Lytechinus pictus: one gene and its partner. The protein of the gene in region 1 interacts with the protein of each later gene in a pairwise test. Links are inferred from orthologs where the notes say so. Each region holds a gene or a part of one and is shown on either strand. Other genes may lie near its edges.

Region 1 (10,481 bases):
TTAAATAGGTTCTTGAAAGGTTCTAGAGCAATGCTTTCCGCGATGATCAATACAATAAACAATCATTACTTACAGATCTTCAAAAATTTCGAGGACTTTTCCATGAGACTTTATATCAGCAAGTTCCATGACTTCTGAAATGAAGTTCTGTGACTTGTGAGATCGAGATCATCGGAGTATAGCTCCCTATATCCGGCGTATGAGATAGGCCTGAAGATATCGACAGTTAACGTCAATTATAGTAGGATGGGGGTCGGGTGTCCGGACACTTTATATTTTGAAGCCGAAGTTGTCTTTGGATTACACTAAAACTATTAATTCAATAGTTCTAATCATCTTCTATTTTGTTCTTCATAATATTTCCTAACATTTTGTACTAAAAATTGATGAAATTTCGCTTGTAAATTTTTCCAAATGACTTTCTAACAACTGGGTGCACTAAACAGTAAAGATTATGTGCCTTTTAGAAGAAAAATGTTTTGTATTTCATTTTAAAAATTGACATAAAATAGAGAGTCAAAAGGGGCCTAATTAAGCTTTCGATCCTAGCAGAATCTTCGTCGGAGGCAAAATGACAAACATATAAAGTGATATATTATACAGAAAAACTCAAAAAGACCATCACTTTAATAAAAATAAATATAACCTTTTTCAAATATTATAATTATATTGATTACAGTGAATGATTTTCATTAACTCGTTAAACTCCATTTCTCTCAATATATCCTAAATCAGGGCCGTAGCCAGGATTTTCTATGAGGGGGTTCCGAATTATAAAGAGTGAACCTCCTCAGGACAAATCTAGCTTTCGCAAATACGGGGGGGGGGTGGTTAATTTAAAAAAAAATCATCTACATTTTCCCCGATCAGCCGCTTTAAATAATGCAGACATGCAATATCATTTTTTAATCTTCAGTTTATGTATTCTGATAAATGAACGCTCCACAGATTTTGGTACTGGTGATCAATGGGGATCTAAGTAACTTAGATCTAAACAATTAATGCGGGCGCAAAGCGCGAGCTCAAACTTGTAGCTAGTATACTAATTAATCCGAAAATTGTTTAGAACTGTTATGGAGAAGGTACTTATCTCACCAACCAATTAATGCGAAAACAATGAATATGTTTAATATATTCTGACATGAAAACCTAAAGCAAGGTTTCCACTTTGGCGAGTTAACATCGCGAGTTATGGCGAGTTATAGCGAGTTGCCAAAATGAGGCACTCGCGATAACTCGCATAAAGCTCACCATGAAACTCGGGATAACTCGCGACAACTCGGCGGAGCTCGGCGGAGCTCATTCAAGCTCGGGACAACTCTCCTTGAAGTCGTGAGCTGTTTCAAAATTTTTGAACATGTTCAAAAATTTTGCTAACTCGCTGTAACTCGTGCTGAACTCACCTAAACTCGTTATATACTCGCAGTACTCGCAATAACTCGTAAGAAGCTCGAGATAAACTCACAATAACTCGTAATAACTCGCCACATCTGAGTATACGCGAGTGCGTTCCGAGTTTTCAAGAGCGATATACGAGCATTGCGATCGTTTTACGAGTCAAATGGAGGTGCCCACGAGATTAGCGCGACTTTAGATCGAGCACCCCGAGTTACAGCGAGTTTCGTATGAGTTTATTCCGAGTGCGTTGCAATTGCTCAGAGGCATGCCAGCTGAATGATAAATGTCCAGTGATCTATATTTTCCCCACATATAAACCCCTCAAAAAAAGTTTGGAAATCTGATTTTGGGCATTAATTTCTCCCAACTCCAAAATTTACACATTGCATATTATTTTGACATCATTTAAAAGGTCATGAAATTTTCTTTACAATGATACCATGCTTGTTATGATCATGCCATTACGAAAAGAGCAGGATTCAAAAGTGTTGGATAAAGTCTGAATTGAAAAGCTGCAAAACGAGCAAAAAGGTTTGGAAATCTGAGTTTGGCCATTACTTTATCCCGACTCCAAATTTTACACAATGCATATTTGATATATTTTAAAAGATCATTTGATTCTCTTTAAAATGATCCCATGCTTGTTATGATCATGCCATCAAAAAAGAGCAAAATTAATAAGTGTTGGATGAGGTCTGAAGTAAAAAGCTGCAAAACGAGCAGAAGTAATCATGAAGGGTCAATACAGAACATGATTTTTTTGTCTGTGTCAATAAAGATGAAAATCCATTCAAATCAAACCCCTGCTTTTTCATTTCATAATGTTTTGTTGTGGTTTATGTTTGTTTGTTGTGTGTTTGCTTGTGCAGAGGTGTGTTTGATTCCATTTGAATGTTGATGTTAAGGTGCATGAAAACAATTGCTGAGAATCTCACTCATCATCATGGAAGAAAAGAACAGTGACTTTCAATATTGTGTCATTTTGCAAATTTTGAATTTTGACCTTGCCCCGCATTTCAAGGCACTGCACCTCCATGTGAGCCAAAATCATATCATGGAAAGTATCTTTTTAAAGAAAATTAAATGATCTATTCATTGATATTAATTCAACATTGATATTTACTAAAACCGAGGCGGGATTACCAATCAAACTCAAAAGAAACCGCTTAAAATACTCACTCATCACCACGGAAAAAGGAACAGTGACTTTCAATATTGTGTCTCTTTGCAACTTAATTTTGAATTTTGACCTTGCCCTACATTTCAAGGCACTGCACCTCCATGTGAACCATAATCATATCATGTAGGGTATCATTTTAAAGACACTTAAATGATCTATTCATTGATATTAATAACAATTGATATTTACTAAAACTGAGGAGGGAGTTTTGATTAAAGTCGGATTTCCAAACTTTTTTTGAGGAGTTTATTTTAAAGTGAGAGCACATTTTAACTGACCCACGCAATGTACACGTACTTTTAAAAAGGCTGTTTCCACTGCATTATTACAACTTTCAAAAAATAAGGAGAGAAATATGCCTCGATCCAAAAGATCCAAGAGTTGTGGCCATTCAGATAGGGAAACAGCGAAAGAAGATGACATTCAAACAAGGGTAGAAGAAGTGCAGGAAGAGACAATTGAAACGGAAGAGGAGGTCAATGATGAGCATGCAGAGCCAAGGTAAAAGAACAAGACATCAAACTAGACAATTAAGGTCCAAGTGGAGCGCCTCTGGCAGTCTCACCTGCATCACGCTATCCAATATAGAAGTAGTGCTGACTCTGAAAACTATTATAAAATAATTATTCACAAAAACACCATTCATACATTGATACAATACTACGTTCATTGACAATAAATGACATTTGACCTTTATCATGTGACCTAAGACTTGTCAGTGATACTAGATTACCCCTATATCCACATTTTATAAACTGTATCTAAACTTTGAAAGTTATGACAGCAATATAGTATTAATCTCCAAAATGGCCAAAGTTCAATAACCTTAAATGACCTTTGACTTTGGTCATGTGACCTAAAACTGGCATGAAATGTTCGGTGATACTTGACTACTCTAATATCCAAGTTGATGAATCATATCCATAAGCTTTCAAAGTTATGATGGTAATTCAACAAATACCCCCAACATGGCCAAAGTTTATTGACCTTAAATGACCTTTGACCTTCGTCATGTGACCTGAAACTCGCACAGGATGTTCAGGAATACTTGATTACTCTTATATCCAAGATTCATGAATCAGATCTATAAACTTTTAAAGTTATGATGGTAATTCAACAGATCACCCGAACATATCACTAAAGTTCATTGACCTTTGACCTTGGACATGTGACCTGATATCCGCACAGGATGTTTAGTGATACCTGATTACTCTTATGTTCAAGTTTCATGAATCAGATTCATAAACTTTCAAAGTTATAATGTTAATTTAACAAATACCCCAATTGGCCAAAGTCCATTGACCCTAATTGACCTTTGACCTTAGTCATGTGACTTGAAACTCAAGCAGGATGTTTATATACTTTAATAACCTTATGTCCAAGTTTCATGAACTAGGTTCATATATTCTTTAAGTTATGATGACATTTCAAAAACTTAACCGTTAAGATTTTGATGTTGATTCCCTAAACATGGTCTACGTTCATTGACCATAGATGATCTCTGACCTTGGTCTTGTGACCTGAAACTCGAGAAGGATGTTTTGTAATGCTTGATAAACCTTATGGTCAAGTTTCATGAACTAGGTCTATATACTTTCTAAGTTATGATGCCATTTCAAAAACTTAACCTTCGGTTAAGATTTGGTGTTGACGCCGCCTCCGCCGGCATCCATCTTTGAGTGCCAAAAATGTGCATTTCCCGCCCCTTGGTCGTATGAAACTCTTATCACTCGTAACAACATCTTTATAACTCGTTCATAGCTCGCTTTAAGTCGTATAAAGGTCACCGCAACTCATACTAAGCTCGGCCTGACTCGTTTCGCGCTCGGTTCACTCGTACAACGAGCGTAGTGAACTCGATGTTGAGTCGTTTGTCACTCAAGCAAATTCCAGGGGAAAATGTAAATTTCACGCGAGCTTGTGCGAGCTAAGGCGAGTTAGAGCTCGCGCAGCTCGCGTATGACTCGCAACTCCAACTCGCCAAAGTGGAAACCTTGCTTTAAGCCTTTTTTGTATCAATGATAGTGAAATAAAAAATTGATGCGAGCGAGAGGCGTGAGCTGAAATCTGTACTATGTATACTGACCCCAAAGCATGAAAAGGGACCTGTCAATGACTGTTTGTGAAACGCGAGCTGTTTAAGGTTTGAACTTTCTATTCACTTTTTTGATAATCATGAAAAGGATGGGTGTCTTGCTACAGAAATGATTCGAGCACTAAACGCGAGCTGAACATTTTGGTATTCCGATCTAAACTTCGGACATTTGAAGCACGCTATTTAATAAAGAACGAGTGTCGTATCTCAGATTCTTAATAACCAAAATTTATGCGAGTGTGAAGATCGAGTTAATCAAGTTAAGCACTGTTTAATTTAACATCAATTAAGAACCATTGCGACGCAGGCATAGGGGGCGGAAGCAACTTATATATATATATATATAAATAAACTGTTGGAACTAAGTACAATGCATTACCACTTTGCCTCATTAATATCTTCTATGTCCAACACGCGGAACGTAATATCGTTAGATGAGGCGAGGCCAATTAACTCAACAGATGACGCAGGACACCATTATTTGCTTTAGCTTTCGTCTTTTAATTGAGACTTCGTCAGAAGCGTCTGAAAAATATAAGGAGATACAACATCCAAGTTTGTTTTGCACAAACTTGGATGTTGTATCTCCTTATATTTTTCAGACGCTTCTGACGAAGTCTCAATTAAAAGACGAAAGCTAAAGCAAACAATGGTGTCCTGCGTCATCTGTTGAGTTGGCCTCGCCTCATCTCATTATGTTTAATATTCACAACTCAACAGCGATTGGTAGAAGTAAACTTATCATCACACTATATATATTTATTTATTTTTTTTTTTTTTTGGGGGGGGGGGAGCAAGTGCTAGAATTTCTCTGATCACTTTACGATATCACCTCTTAATTTAGTGATACCATACACATTTTGAACTGAAATTCTTGATACTTTCAGCCATTACCGGTGTCAGAAGTTTTGTGTGAATCTCCTGCTCTCTTCTTTCATATTTTCCAATAAGCAAGTCGTTTTAATCTTCCTTTACAAAACAATTTGTAGTAAGTACAGTTATGTTAATCTGAATATGTAGTTCTACTAAAAATTGTAGCTCATTTCCTTGTAGTATAGATCTAAATCTATGTCTGCGACAAGAGCCGAGACTCGCGAGAGGTGTCCCACATGTAGAATTCTGCGTAGGCCTAATTTGGCAAAACTAAGTGCCCGCAGGCGAATTGCGCATTCAGCATGCAACGTAAAATACTAATAATTAGATGGACAATATAAATTTTATTTGCACAAGTATTGTGCAATTTTATTGCTCCCTGATTCATCACTACCCTATCATGCCTATAATCCAATTCCATCAGGACAATGTTGGCGAGATTAGACTAGACAGCTGGCGGCCGTCTGTTTCGGGGAGTTTTGTTAACATAATAACAATAACATTTTTTTTTTTCATTTCTCGTACACAGATGAGATGGCTCACGATCGTGCAGCCGCCAATAGGGGTTAAAAATGCAAAATCCCCCCTGATCGGGCTCATCGATTTTTGTCTTTATTTCATAAACATATGATAATTTTGATATAGGGCCTAGGCCTAATTAAAAAGAACTTGACCAAAATAAAGTCAAAGATTATATTCTGTTTTGGCCTGAAATGCACCAAAACAGGAAAAAAAAAATTTAAAAGGAAAAACAGTGACTTACTTCGGCTGTCGCGCAACTCCCACTCCCTGGTTTATCCAAACTTAATACTTAAACATATGGCCATTGACTCTATTGAGTCCCTGTGCAAATCGAGTTAGAACTTCGGTCTCTAATTGGTGATGGAGCCAACGTAGTTCAGCGGAACAACCAATATAACAGAGAGTGTAAAAAAGTGTAAAAATAAAAACTTTTGTCAGGTGAAAAGAATTATTTTGTAGCATATTTTAGATCACAAGTTTCACCTACATTACAAAGTCTTGAAATAAATTCAAACACATGAACTGAAAGAGTGATTCTTCTCTTCAATAATCCCCAAATCATGAAATTTGATAAATATTTAGAGCAGCAATTACTGAATTAAAAGAGGTGAGAACTAGATATATTTGTTGACCCCCCCCCCTGACGATATGATAGATATAGTTTTCTTTATTTGCTAGGATAGTCATCCTCATTCTATACCGCCTTGCCACACTCAGTCTACTCTGTACTTAATTTTTTTGTCATACATGCATACTTTTTGTTTGTTTTTATTAATCTTTGCCACTACTTTCTTCATCTTTCTGGCCCAATCCTCTCTTGGTTCTTCTATCTATATCTCCTTTTAATTACCCTTTCCCCTTACTCACTTTTTCTCTGCCTGTCTCCCTATGCCGTCTTTATCCTTCCCCGTCTTCTCTTTTCTAATATATTTTTATTCATGCATGTACAATTGCCTCATTGTAGTGGTTATAATTTGCATACTTAATATTTATAATGTTCAATACAATGTATGATTTTATTTACTTTCAACAATTTATTTCCTTGTATTATAATAAGAAGTACTAGTAATTGTATTCAATTTATATCATTTCATGTTTGTACTAAAGTATTACTCTGTTATTGTAAATTGTACACATGTTTTTATTCAGCCTTTGGCTGCGAGGCATGTTTTAATAGACCATTATTGAAACGAATTGAAAAAAAAGGTGTTTGGTCCCCATCAAGCTCATTAAATACGCAAAACCTCTCTAGTCATGAATATCACTTGGATGAGAGAAGCCACTTTTTGAGACCTGCCTACTGACTGCCTTGCCTGCAAATCTACATGTAGATCTATCTATGGTATGCCAATGCAGTACACAGCACACAAAAAATGTCATTAAAATATCACTTTTGTGACTAAAAATACCAATTTCAATACAGTTAAGTTGCAATTTATTTTTCATAAGTAACCTGGGAATCATTTTTGTATTCTCCAGAGTGCTCAAATACTTGAATTTTTGGGCATATTTTTTTTTTTTTTGTGGAAAGTAAAGTTGCAAGAAAATTGTCATTTTTCAATCTCTATTTTTAATTTAGAAAAAAATATTAAAAGAATTCAATTTACTTCAGAGCCAAGTTATATGATGAATAGCTGTAATGGAAACTGACGTTGTCAAAAAATCAAGCATTTATCCCCAAGAACAATAGAAAATAAGCCAAACATTGCCAACCTTGTTTCACCAAACAGTGCATAGTAACAAAACAAGGTTATATCATTACCTTGTTCATTGAATGAGTGCACATACAGTATGGTATCCAAGTTTACTGTGACAATATTTCTAATAAAATTCCGCATTTTGATAGTAGTGGGGAGCAGACTTACGCCTATTTGTACATATTGTGGAAGTCTTTTATGTGAATGATATGTTCTAATCATGACAATATGTATATTTTTCTTGCAAGGTTCTATTAGAGGATCATTCAGTTTATAGCCTATAAACATTCAACAGAGAGTAAGACAGATGGCAGCTCATCCAAGAAGCAGAGATGAAATCTTCAAAAGTTTTGTGGAAAATTTGCAACTTGTTGTTGACAAATTAACAGGTAAAGAGCAGTTTGAAAGGTATTAATATCCCTTTTCCTTGACATTATGTGAGTGGGTTTATTTCATAGGGGAAAAAAGTAGGGAAAGGATGAAAGTACTTCTTTTCCTCACAACAGAAGGTTGGTCGGTCGGTGCAATGGAAAACTTGATCAACTGAGAAATCGCGTTGATATGGGCTCAACACTATGGCTAATATTAGATATCATTCTAACCAAATTAGAAAAAAGTGTTATTTACCCCATTCTTAATGATTGCGGGTTGAAATTTAACTGTGGATACTTCAAGGTGTACTTTGTTCTGATTAGATTACCTTCATATTTCACTTGTGAGAGTCAAATTAAAGTCTCTTCATCCTTCTCTTAATTTTACCCATGAAGAATCTATTGATGATAATTATGTTCACTTCCTTCATTCTATAATGTTTCACTAAACTTTTTTTCATTGTTTTCATCTAATTCAGAGGATGTGCCTTCTAGGGATGCTGCAGAATTTAATTTGGCTGAATATTGGATCAAAATGGGTAGGTTATTCAGCTGAAGAACTGTAGATCAAGGTTGATATTTGATGTCATCTGGCTATAGGGTACCAAAGTGTGATGTTATCAAGTTTCATTTATTGCATTTTGGCTTTTTTGATTCCATATGTGAAAAACATTGACGCACCAACTTTTTTGGGAATCGGGTCATGGTGCTCCAAGGTATGACCTGGTACATAATTGTTGGAACTAAGCCAATTTACATTGATTCCAATGGGGTTAATTAGGCATTCATATGACCACATCTTGGGCTCCCTGGCCCGATCCCCTTCCAAATTTGGGCTGTGGGGGTTTTTTAATCATGCTCCGCCGAGATATGGTATTAAAATGCTGAAATGCAAAAATATATATATATTTTTAATTTTTTTTGTGATATCATTACTTTGGTATTCTATTGCAGTTGAAGATGGTTTAAATTTTTAAGTACTTCTTTCCATTTAAATCACTAAGGATAAACTGTGCAAGCTTTCGTTCTTACCTAAAAATTTTCATAGAGATAAGCATTTTAGGTTTGACTGTAAATGTGTTTGACTCAAGGAAAAAAAAAATCCTGACAACCATAACGTTAAATCCAACGCAATCTAACACTCAAAATATCTGTTGTATAACAAGATGAACTAAATGTAGTAAGAGAAACAATTCAGGCAATTTCTCAATTATAGATCTACCTTTGAATATAAGAGTCTAGCTTGTCTGCATTCCCTGGAACTTGAGAATGTCAGGCTTGCCTGTGTTTTTTTCTCATTACTTTGATGGTGCTTTTCTGACTAAGATGGGAAAGTAAATTAAAAAATTAGGGGGAAACAAAAAACCTTACAGAATTTGAAAATGCTATTTGCATAGATCTGTCCATCATGCAAACCTATCACACTAATGTGTTAAAAAATTTGGACAGTACAAATACAAACAACCTCGGATCATTCTTTGTTCGGCAGAGACCAAGTAATCACTTTTCCTGTTGGTCCATTGGTCTGCTAGTCTCTTGATCTTTTAAAAAATGTTTAAAGGGGAAGTTCACCCTGAATAAATGTTTATTATAAAAATAGCAGAAAAAAAATATATATATTGGTTAATGTTTTAGAGAAATCCATTAAAGATTAAGAAAATTATTAGAATTTTAATTTTTGGATTTGTGATGTCATAAACGAGCAGCCGCCTCATATGTAATGTTATGTAAGATGCATGAATTTCATTATTTAATGGTTCCTGATGACTTATTTTGTTTCTTTTCATGATCAAGTATGAAATGATTTGTCTATTGATATACAAAAGGTACAATAAAGACCATTTTCAATTTTCTAAGAAAATGACATTTCATTTATTTTTTACCATTCGCTATGTAGGAATGCTGCTCGCATATGACGTCACAAATCAAATAATTAAAATTCTAATAACTTTTCTTTCATGGATTTTTTCTCAAACCTCCAGCAATATTTTTATTATTTTTTCTGCTATTTTTACAATAAACTTTTTTCAGGGTGAACTTCCCCTATAAGTTTTTGTTCAACTTGCTGTCATTTCTTTATTTCTGCATCAGTTATATTCACACTTGGTACAAATAATCCTTGGGTAAATACCACATGTGTGTTCATGAGGATGATGGGTCAAAGGTCATCTAGGGGTTTATGATATGAGGTCATGTCCATCCTTTTTCAATTTTTTTGTTCAATTTGCTTGCATTTCTTTATATCTCTGCATCAATTGTGATTATACCCAGTACAAATAATCTTTGAGTAATACCACACATATTTTCTTGATGATGATAAGATCAAAAGTCACCAAGGGGTCAAA
Region 2 (10,693 bases), on another chromosome or scaffold:
TTTTTCTTGAGGCGTTGGTGGCCTGTCTAACCCAGTGCAAGTGTCCTATTGAAAAGTACGTTTTACTATTGATGCCCTTTTAATGGCCTTGGATGCCCCTTAACATGAGTATCACCTTCCCTCTTCATCAAGTGCCCTTTTAAAAATGGTTTTGCCTCTCTGGCCCGTATTCTGAAGTCAGGTTTAACTTAGACCATGGTCTAACTTTGTGCTAAAATTATGGGAAGCCAAATATGTCAAAATTATGTTTTCATAATTTCATTGAATGCTTCTAATGCAGAGCTGCCAACATTGGGATGATAGAATCCAGTAGATTTCGCGGAGGTATGATTTTGTGAGGGAGCGGCGGAACGTTGTCCCACGGATGGGAGTTTTGGGTAGCAAAACACATTAGGAAACAACATTTGATAGTAACCGACAGCTGTCTAAACCATCAAAAAAAATTCTGATAGATTAAATGCACATTAGAGAGAATTCATGAATTGTCATTGACTAAATATACACTTCAGGCAATATACAGTAGATTTTTTTTAATAATTCATAAAAGAATGAATTCAACATGAAAATACCTTTATAATTGGCCAGAGGGGGAAGGGGCTGCAGAAGTGGTAAACATGGTAAATGAGCTTTATATGTGGACTGTTTAAAGTCTCTGAGGGATTCCTGTGAAAATTGTCACACAGTCCCATTCTGCTTGAAAACTATCTTTATACTTCGACAAGTATTTTGTCGTCTTGGATGACTCCATCTCCATGATCTCCATGGTCACTGGCGATGCGATTGTAGTGTGGATGAATCGGGACGCACAGCTCAGCCAGCCAGCGCCAGGCTAGCTCACTCACGAAACTCGAAAGAGAAAATGTTCGAATCCGATCAACCCAAGTGAAAGTAGGCGAAAAAATCTCCACTTTGCTTCTAATTCTTCAAGATTGTCAATAAAATTATTCCTGAAATTGAAAGTCGAGGTGTAAAAAAGTAATCCACTTGTTAATCCCATCGTTGATCCACAGTTTCAGCTCGAATAAGGCGCACGCAAGCTTACGAAAAATGCCTCGCAGTGCTCGTGAACTTTAATTCTCGGAGCTTCCTGGCGCAGCGCGGCGGGCTGGAGCCGCGCCGGGGCGCATCGGGGGCCATGTGCATGGAGTACCGCTGAAGAGTTTTCATCACACACACATGCAGAACCCGGAAATAAAATGGCTTGTTAGACTACTTCACCAGTCGTTCAGTAAAATTATCTTTATTTACATGCGAAATTAATGTACGATTATACAAAAACTGGTAGAAGTTACTGGGTAAAATGAAAATGTGATAAGGTGGTTCCACGTTGGTGTTAGGGAGTTGAACATGCTAGACTCGTTAAACAGTCGTTTGTACGAATTTTACAATTTAACAGCTAAAAATCCTGATTATCCGGGAGATTTTGGCATGGGGTCGGGAGAACGGGAGATTGGATCGTAATCCAGTATTCTCCCGCAGGATCCGGGAGACTTGGAAGCTCTGCTAATGTTCACTGTGCTCTTTCCTAATTGCGTTATGGTGAAGACAACTATCTTATTCATCCTTCCCAGACAATTAAGAATTATTTGAGACTAAAATGAGCTGATACATTCAACCTCTACTTTTACAGAATTATGCGACAACTGGCTTCCCATAGTTAAACCACAAATTTAAACCAGAGTTTAAATTAAACCTGACTTCAGAATATGGGCCTCTGAATTCTTAATTCGAGCCCTGCATACATGTAACCCATGATGATCCAAGTAAAGTAAAACAAGCGTTCTGGAGAACGAGGCAGGAGGAAAGTTAGGAAATAATAAAAATTCAAGAGGAGAAAAGAGAAAAACAAAGGAGATGAACAAACTACATGTAGATTGAATAGATTCACATGATCTATCATGTGAATCTATTCAATCTACATGTAGTTTTTCTCTTTTCTCCTCTTGAATTTGTATTATTTCCTAACTTTCCTCCTGCCTCGTTCTCCTTCTTCTCTTGTTCTCCACCTCGTTCTTCTTTGTCTTGATTTTCTCCTCATTTTCCTAGTATTATTATCCTCCTCCTCCTATTTCACAACCTTATTATTGATTATCATGATTTATTTAAAGGTCAAGTCCATCCCAGAAAAATGTTGATTCGATTAAAAAGACAAAAATCAAACTAGCATAATGCTGAAAATTTCATCTAAATCGGATGTAAAATAAGAGTTATGGCATTTTAAAGTTTCGCTTATTTCCCACAAAACAGTTGTATTCACAACTCAGTGACATGCAAACAAGACAGTCGATGATGTCCCTCACTCACCATTTCTTCTTTTTTTATTGTTTCCATTATACAATATTTCATTTTTTACAGATTCAACAATAAGGGCCTACTTAACTGAACCATATAGTATTAGAATAATGCAAATTCCAGGTGTTCTGGGAGGAATTAATCTTTGTTTCACTTGACAATGAGGAGAAAATTAGAGTACTTCACATTTCATTTAATAAAATTGGGATTGCCTCAGTTTACAGGGACGGTCTCAGTTTTCAAAGATTTCTCCACACAAGAGAATAAGGAAGTTCAATCACCTGTCTAGTGCCAACACCAATCAGTGTGCTAGTCAATGTAAACATATATCAGGTTTCATGTTATATAATAATTAGTATATACTACTAATTATTTATAATTGCATATCAAATTTTAGTATTTGTGAAATAATAAATTTTATCTATAAATTGTTCTTCAAAACGGCATCGCTGATCGGATGTACGTCATGACGAAGCGGTTCAAGGGTCAGGCCTATTGTCTTTGCTTTGTTGACAAACGGATCGAGGGATCTACAGGAGATCGGTCTGGTAAGAAACGTCTCATTTTTACCATTTATAGTGAAATAATTTTTATCCCTTTATACGCATTAGGCGCATGAAGGTTCATAGATAAATAAAGTTCACCCCTACAAACCGATTTCACCCTCTAACTATGGATTTCCTAGGGAAATCCATCTTTGTGTACATGTGTCTCTTAATACTCATATTATTAATAGTATGGCCGGCGGTTCAAGACTCCATTTTGAAGTATATGTCAAAATATTTAAAAAACATCATCATGGAGTCCTCAAGACTAGGCTGCACGATCGTGAGCCATCTGTACTCTGTGTAAGACCTCTTAACTTTAGACTGTAAGACAAGAGGAGAAAAAAAAAAAAAAAAAAACAAATTTAAAACTCCTCAAAACAGACGGCTGCCGGCTGTCTAGCTAGTGCTACTGCTAGCGAATAGCAATCAAAATGACCTCTTGCCATCCTGAAATGAAAGTAATATAATCAAATTGCTAAAATTGTAAATACTAGTATAGTCACGTATTGTATCACCGGACACTATCATGATTCCGGACGCGCATATTACTGCGTTCTAAAACAAATTCGTACCATAAGACTTCCGCAATTCAATTTCACAGAGCAATACATAGAACAAGATTGCAAAAACAAGGCAAAAAATCCAACGTTTACCTAATTATCTCTAAAAATGACAGAAAATGCTTAAAATATCATATAACATAGTTTTGTATTAACAATTGATATATTTTCTAACGGATATATGGGCCTGATTTGCCGAATTTCAATCTTGTCCACTCCTTCGATCGAATGATGAGGTGTGGTGTATTGTGGGTGATCGTCGATGGCTAGTTCTCAAGGTACCCGTGCGCAAGGTTTACCGTGAGTAAAGCTAGAGCCGTCGATCGGCAGCGCATCGATAGAACTTGATGAGCGTCACGATCGAACGCGAGCATATTATTATTGGAAAGTGCCATGGAACATGCAGCTAACAAGACAAAATAAAATAAGTTATCAAACACGAATTTATTACCAACATCTGCTCAGATTCGATACAAAAAAAACAAATAGGGAGGCCTAATACTTAGATTTACTCATGATATGATATAAGAAGAAAAAAATCACACAAATTTGCTCTTACATCATTATAATCAAGGATATCTTTACCCGTCCGGCGCGCGTCCAGAATCATGATGTAATTTGTCGCGCATGAAAATAATTGTTTTTCGTGGAGGGGTATGCGGCAAGTGCGATGCAAAGGCAAAGCCAAAGAAAATGGTTGGTAAATATAAAATAATTTTATCATATTCATAATTTTCATATTTGGAATAGCAGGTGTGAATTTTTCTTGAATGTATTTCCTCTAGTTGTCATTTTTAAAGCACTGAAATAAAGGTGTCCGGCAATAGGATACACTGCCATACTTAAGCTAATAGTGCCAGTGCCTGGTTAGTCCAGTTCACAGCCCTGGGGCGGTATTCTGAGGTCATTTTATCTTTAAAATATTTTATTTTATCTCTTAAAATGAAATTGGTATTCTGAGATGACATTTTATCTCTCAGATAAAATTAAAAATTTTATCTTGAGTATAAATTTTATCTTGCGTATCTATGATGATACACAACAAAGCAGTGGCTGCGTAGACATACCCATCGCGTATCTGGCCATTGCAACGCGGGTGATGTGCTTGCGCCCAAGTTACTTTGAAGAAAAAAATAAAATAAACTTAAAAGAGGGTAAGGGCTATTTTATCTCCGCAACGTTGATTTCGTCGATATTTCTAGGTGAATTAACTCCAAATGTTAGCATGAAAATTAAGAAAAATGATATATTCATTGAGAACAACACCTTAAAGTTATTCCTGTACAATCAGGAAGCATTTCATAAGACTTTTCTTGACTAATATTGTCTTTGAAATGATGCTTGAAAAGATGCGATATAGACTTCGAAAAAAAGATGAGATTATTTCCATTTTTGTTAAAAAGAAATCTCTGTAAGGACGCGCAGGCGTATAGTGCAAGCGTATTGAAGTCAATAAATTGACGCAATCTCACTCCTTCGCCACACCTCCTAGCGGAATGGATTTCCATTGGTTGAGTGATATGAGAGAGCTATAAAAGCGCGTTTCTAATTGGATATTGATTAAAAAATAGGTGTGTCTTACAGAGATAAAATGGAGATAAAATTGTTCTCAGAATACCAATTCGGAGAGATTTTAAGGGTATTTTATCTCACTGATTTTAACGGAGATAAAATATTTTATTTTATCTGAGATAAAATGGATCTCAGAATACCACCCCTGAGCATGCAGGGTTGGAGCAACCCGGCGCCGGCCTGGCCCCGCAGGCGGACTACCGGAGTCCCGGCGGGGACAGCTGTCGAGTGTCGTAGCAAGTGCACCTTCGACCACGCTATTGCCGCTAGAAACATGAAAATATAGACTTTGCACTTCTTTAATCTAGTATTTCTAAATGTCAACATCTAACATTTTACCTAGATCTGGCAGACTTTACCGACAGAATACTAGAAAAAGGTGTAAATGAAATTTTAAAAACCTCACCACTGACAGAAACTGGCAAACAACAACGACCCACAACTACAAGCCACACCAATTTGCAATTTTTGCTCCGATGTAGTCGAATATTCGAAGCAATAATTCTAAAAAAGTAATACTTTTAAAATTAATGATAATAATAATAAAAACTTTAAAAATTTATGAAATATTTTTTATTTCATTATTTTTGCTGATATAAAATTTTCCTCTTCGTATTTTTTATTTGAAGATTTGTTTAATGTAGAGCGAGGACATTATTTCGTACAACAATGGCAGCTTCCTGTGATCAGGTTAGAATTTATTTTCATTATTTTTTGTCAGATACAATTAGTTCTGGTAGAGTAATTATCATCATGGCGTGCTAGTTATCTCTGTATAGTGTATTTTAGTAATAAATGTTGGTATTTGTGATGTTCATGTTATTGTTGATGGCCCTGGCTTCGGCATTCCTACTCGTCGCGATCGCGTCAACGTCCCAGAACCTCCGCAGATTTCATCTGTTCGAGGCGCAAGCCAGCCGCGCCGGGGAACTAGCGGCCCAGGTTCTGGTCATGATGAACACTGCTTTATTTCGGCGGGGGTACGAAAGTGCACTAGCGCCATACTAATCTAAAATCTGTCACCTCTCTTCTGTAAAGAGCATGACTGCTAACGTCTAACGATTTAAGTCATGTTTCACTATAATACTGTAAACAGGAGAAAAGGAAGTCTGCAGTGTTTTGGAGCAATTGAATTATAATACTATAAATCAGAGCTGTGACTCTTTTGTGAGCTGTGTGAGGTTTATCACAGGACAGGTGACTACACATCTCGCAACCCAGCCCCAGGCAGCATCACCAGCATGAGAGAAAAGCTAAAACACTATCCTCAAGACGACAAGTCCTGAACTTCTGAAGTTATCTTCCTTCTTCAAGGTGGTCGAGGGGTTGGTCCCAGCTAGCCTGGAGGCGTCTGGAGAGTAAAAATCATGGTACTATACGTACCCTCACTCTCCAAACGCCTGGAGCGGCTTAGTATGCCTCGCTATAGAGGCTAGGATTACCCAAAAAATTTAGGTCTAGTTTCACCAATTTCTATTTTTTGTGAATCGCCCAAACTTTTGTACATGGGCAAGTTTTATGTTTACCCCCATTTTTTATCAAATTTGTATATTTTTATTTCTTTATTATTCTTAAAATGGAAGAAAATTAAGAGCAAGAGTATTCACTTACCCCGTCTGTTTACGTCGCCATTTTGCAGTCTTTTGTTATCGATACCTAGATACCAAACGCGTGCAGAGCTGCAACTTAAATTTTAAAATTACTTGCATTTGCCGATTAATATCACGATTCATAAAATATTTGTTTCGGTTAATAAATATCATAAATTAATTTATGTGATATTTATTGATTAAAACAAATATTTTACGATTCCTGATATCTATCGGCAGATGCAAGTAATTTTTTAATCCAAGTTGGCAGCTCTACACTGTAGAGCTGCGTTTGGTATCTAGGTATCGATAACAAAAGACTGCAAAATGGCGACGTAAACAGACGGGGTAAGTGAATACTCTTGCTCTTAATTTTCTTCCATTTTAAGAATAATAAAGAAATAAAAATATACAAATTTGATAAAAAATGGGGGTAAACATAAAACTTGCCCATGTACAAAAGTTTGGGCGATTAACAAAAAATAGAAATTGGTGAAACTAGACCTAAATTTTTTGGGTAATCCTAGCCTCTATAGCGAGGCATACTAAGCCGCTCCAGGCGTTTGGAGAGTGAGGGTACGTATAGTACCATGATTTTTACTCTCCAGACGCCTCCAGGCTAGTCCCAGCCCTTCCTATTGAGAATTTCTTGACTAAAATAAGGCCAAAACGGAAAGTCAAAACAAAACAATTTAATGACTTTCAAGCACAGAATATCTTAGAAAGACAAGTACTAGTGAACCACAATAAAGGTTACACTATTCAATCAACAAACACTGAACAATTAAAACAATCTTTTTTGTGAGTACCCCTCTGGCTTGGAACCATCTCCCACCTGACTAGAGGTGTTCAAGTCAAAGATCGAAAAGAGCTACCTACGATACGACTAAATATCACCGTGCCTTCTCTCACCCGCTGCATTCATACCAATTGGTCCAGCAGTGTACACATCCTGATCCAGAATTAATACAATTTTTTTAGTTACAAAATAAAAAAGTTCAAGTTCGTCTTTATTTATTTAGGATCTATCAAAAGTATCATATAGACTATCAAAAATTTGTTTTGTTCACAACTTCAAGTCGATAAACGTGAAAAATGCCATATTAAACATATAAAGCCATTAAAAGTAGATCTAATACATCATTATAAGAAATCGAAAGTAAATACCCGTTTACATAAAGACTAAAGCCATAACCATAAAGTCAGAAGTGATAACATTAATTCCAAAAAGTTACTGTACTGCCTCCAAAGAGGTTTAAAATACATGTGTGTTATCAGCATTTCATTAAAGTTTAAAAATGTCCTTCCAATAAAAATAGCATGAAGTATTAGCATGTTAAATCCTAAAAGCTATACTGTTTTGCTGTCAAAAAAAATTAAATTAGATGTGTGTAATCATTTTATCACAAGCAGTCTAGCATTTCAAAAATTCATTCATTTCAAATTCATTGAAGCATGAAGTAATACAAAAATACCATGTTTTCCAATAAATGAACAGCATCTTTTTTCCCGCTTCATAATCTTGAAAAGTCAGTTGCGGTTTATCCAAAGAAACATTTAATTGTCATCAATAAGCTGACTTTAACTGTTAGGTTTCTTCATTGTTTGAATTTTCTGGAACAACCAAGAAACATAGAATGTTTAAAGGGAAATCCAACCCAAATAAAAGTTGTTTTATAAGGAAACAAAAAATCAGACAAGTTGATAGGTGAAAATTTGAACAATATTGGACAAACAACAAGAAAGTTATGAATTTTAAAAGTTGTAAATATTGGTAATCACTATACCCATGGAGACTTCAAATTGGCCGCATATGGGATGTCATAGTGATGTAAGGCAAGGACTACTATTCCATGTACTCCAATACATATTATGGCTAAAATGTCATTTTTCCAAAAAGTTTTATTTCAAATTATATTTTTCTTTCATGAGGACATACAACAATATACTACCTGGGTTATATTTAGATTACTGCCCCAGGGGAATGGGTACTTAGGAGAAAAACACAAATCCCTGATAATAAAGTACATGGCCTATGGGAAAGTTATCCTTGCCCCATGTCATAATTTACTTACGCAGTTGCCAATTTGAAATCTACATACATGTAGTATTAGTGATCTCAATTTTAAAGCAGCTATAACTTTCTTATTGCTTGTCCGATTTCTTTCAAACTTTCACCGTTCTGTTTGATTTATTTTTCTCCTTCCCAACACAACATTTTATGGCCAAGGCTGGATTCCCCTTTAATATAATTATTTGTTGGTTAATAAAACAATTAATTTTTGGTAAGACAGTCTTTATTGAAAAAATTCTTTATAAAGGTTGTTTTATTCATTTGATTACTATTGATTTAATGTTTTTCTTTAAAAAAAAACCTGGTTGTTTTGTGATGAAATTGAAAACTTGTTTTTTACAGCTAAAACTGCATGGAAAATGCTCTACAATTTGCATGTAATCGTAATCGGTTATAAAAAAAATGCAATAAATTATGTCCTTTTTTCTTCATTTATTTTCCACCTTTTTCTCTCAACAATTTTTTTTTTTACTTTTTCCCTTTTCATACTGTAACTTTGATATTCAATACTGCCATTTCATGATCTTTTTTCTTTATTCTACAAAGAAATAATTTATATTCTTCGAAAAATAAAAAAATTTAAAAAAGTTTTTTAAAATACCAAAATTAATGATATACATGTACAATGTATCGTCTGATCTTTGAATGATTAATCAGTAAAAATGTTATCACCTGCCAATATTTTTTTAACCACCAGATTTTTGGGCTGCTGTTTATTTTCTGGAAATTATGGTAGTTACATCATATATTGTGCCTATGTAAGACATAAAAACACCACTTTTTGCTTTGGATTTTCTTGAAATTCATGCATTAAATGGCAAAAATAAATACTTTTTTTTTTTAAATATTGTCCGAGACTGATAGTGATACTAGTCCACTAGTCTACAAGTAGTAGCAGATCTAGTAAAAATGTAATTATGAAATGGTGATCACAAAGTTCCGAAATTACTTTCTTAAAATTTCTGTAAATTTTATGTAATTTTCATCGTTATGAGGATTATTTTGATATATTTTTTATGGCAAATTATGAGCTTTCTAAATATTTTTGTTGTACAAACATATGTACCTATGCATGTATTGTAAGGAGGGTTGGGCTAAATTACAAGGTAATTGATCCATTACATTAATTTAATTTAATTTTGTAAGTAATTGTAATTGTATTTGGAAATTTTGAAAGGGAAAGTAATTATAATTGAAAAAAATGTAATTGGACTTCAATTACTGTCAATTACTTTTAATTACATCAATTACTTTACAATAAATTACTTAATTTATGATTTGATTTCATGACTTTTTACATGTCAACTGATTCAGCATCAAAGAGTGTAATAGGCAGAATCCACGCTCTTTAACTTGTCAGTTTCTTTGTAACTTAGAATTGTGTTGAAATACATGTACATGTAGGTGGTGTTAGTAGATATAGATAATCATACAGAATACAAATTTATTTCATTTATGAATTTTGTAGAAAGTATTTGAAATTGTAATTGACAAAAGTAATTGGTTATTTTAATTGACGAAAAAATGTAATTTAATTGAAAAGTAACTTGTGTAATTGTAATGGAAGAAAGTAATTAAGCCCAATCCTGATTGTAAGTGTAAAGTTTGTGGTTGTTGCATTTCTCCTTTTATTAGAATTGAAACTTTATGCTCTAGAAAATCTAAAAAAATGTACATGTATCTTCCAGTACTGCAATTGTGAGCAGAAGTTTGCTGATGGGATAATAAGTAATAACGCATTTTATATTTCCTGAATTTTGCTGCTCCAAATCTGAAGCATGTTGCTTGAAAGTCATATTCTGATACAGGGCATTAACCATCAAAAAACCAATACCAAGAAAACTGTTCCTTTGACTGTAGATGGTCAGATACACCTTGGTACATGTAGTTGCGATACATGTAGTGTCAAATCACCTGTATGTTCTCATAAGAATTAAGATGCACTTAATCTTACAGTGTAAGTCAACAAATCTTGTTCATTCAAAGAAAGAATCGGGTTGAATATCCATCAATAATAGGTCCACGCTTTGACAATCGATTTATTTATTTGTTTATTTT

The links.
Region 2: the proteins of cyclin-D1-binding protein 1 homolog (region 1) and pre-mRNA-splicing factor SYF2-like interact in binary tests that used the Homo sapiens proteins (3 or more experiments, as listed by UniProt). The link is inferred for Lytechinus pictus from reciprocal best matches to the Homo sapiens genes CCNDBP1 and SYF2.

Annotation. Positions count from the first base shown.
Region 1 is NC_087246.1:67,686,935-67,697,415, reverse strand, and holds the start of cyclin-D1-binding protein 1 homolog, read left to right. Parts: upstream 1-5,524; 5' UTR 5,525-5,661; intron 5,662-8,013; 5' UTR 8,014-8,072; coding exon 8,073-8,154; intron 8,155-8,615; coding exon 8,616-8,675; intron 8,676-10,481. UniProt on the Homo sapiens protein: May negatively regulate cell cycle progression. May act at least in part via inhibition of the cyclin-D1/CDK4 complex, thereby preventing phosphorylation of RB1 and blocking E2F-dependent transcription.
Region 2 is NC_087248.1:5,521,286-5,531,978, reverse strand, and holds the start of pre-mRNA-splicing factor SYF2-like, read left to right. Parts: upstream 1-5,590; 5' UTR 5,591-5,641; coding exon 5,642-5,662; intron 5,663-10,693. UniProt on the Homo sapiens protein: Involved in pre-mRNA splicing as component of the spliceosome.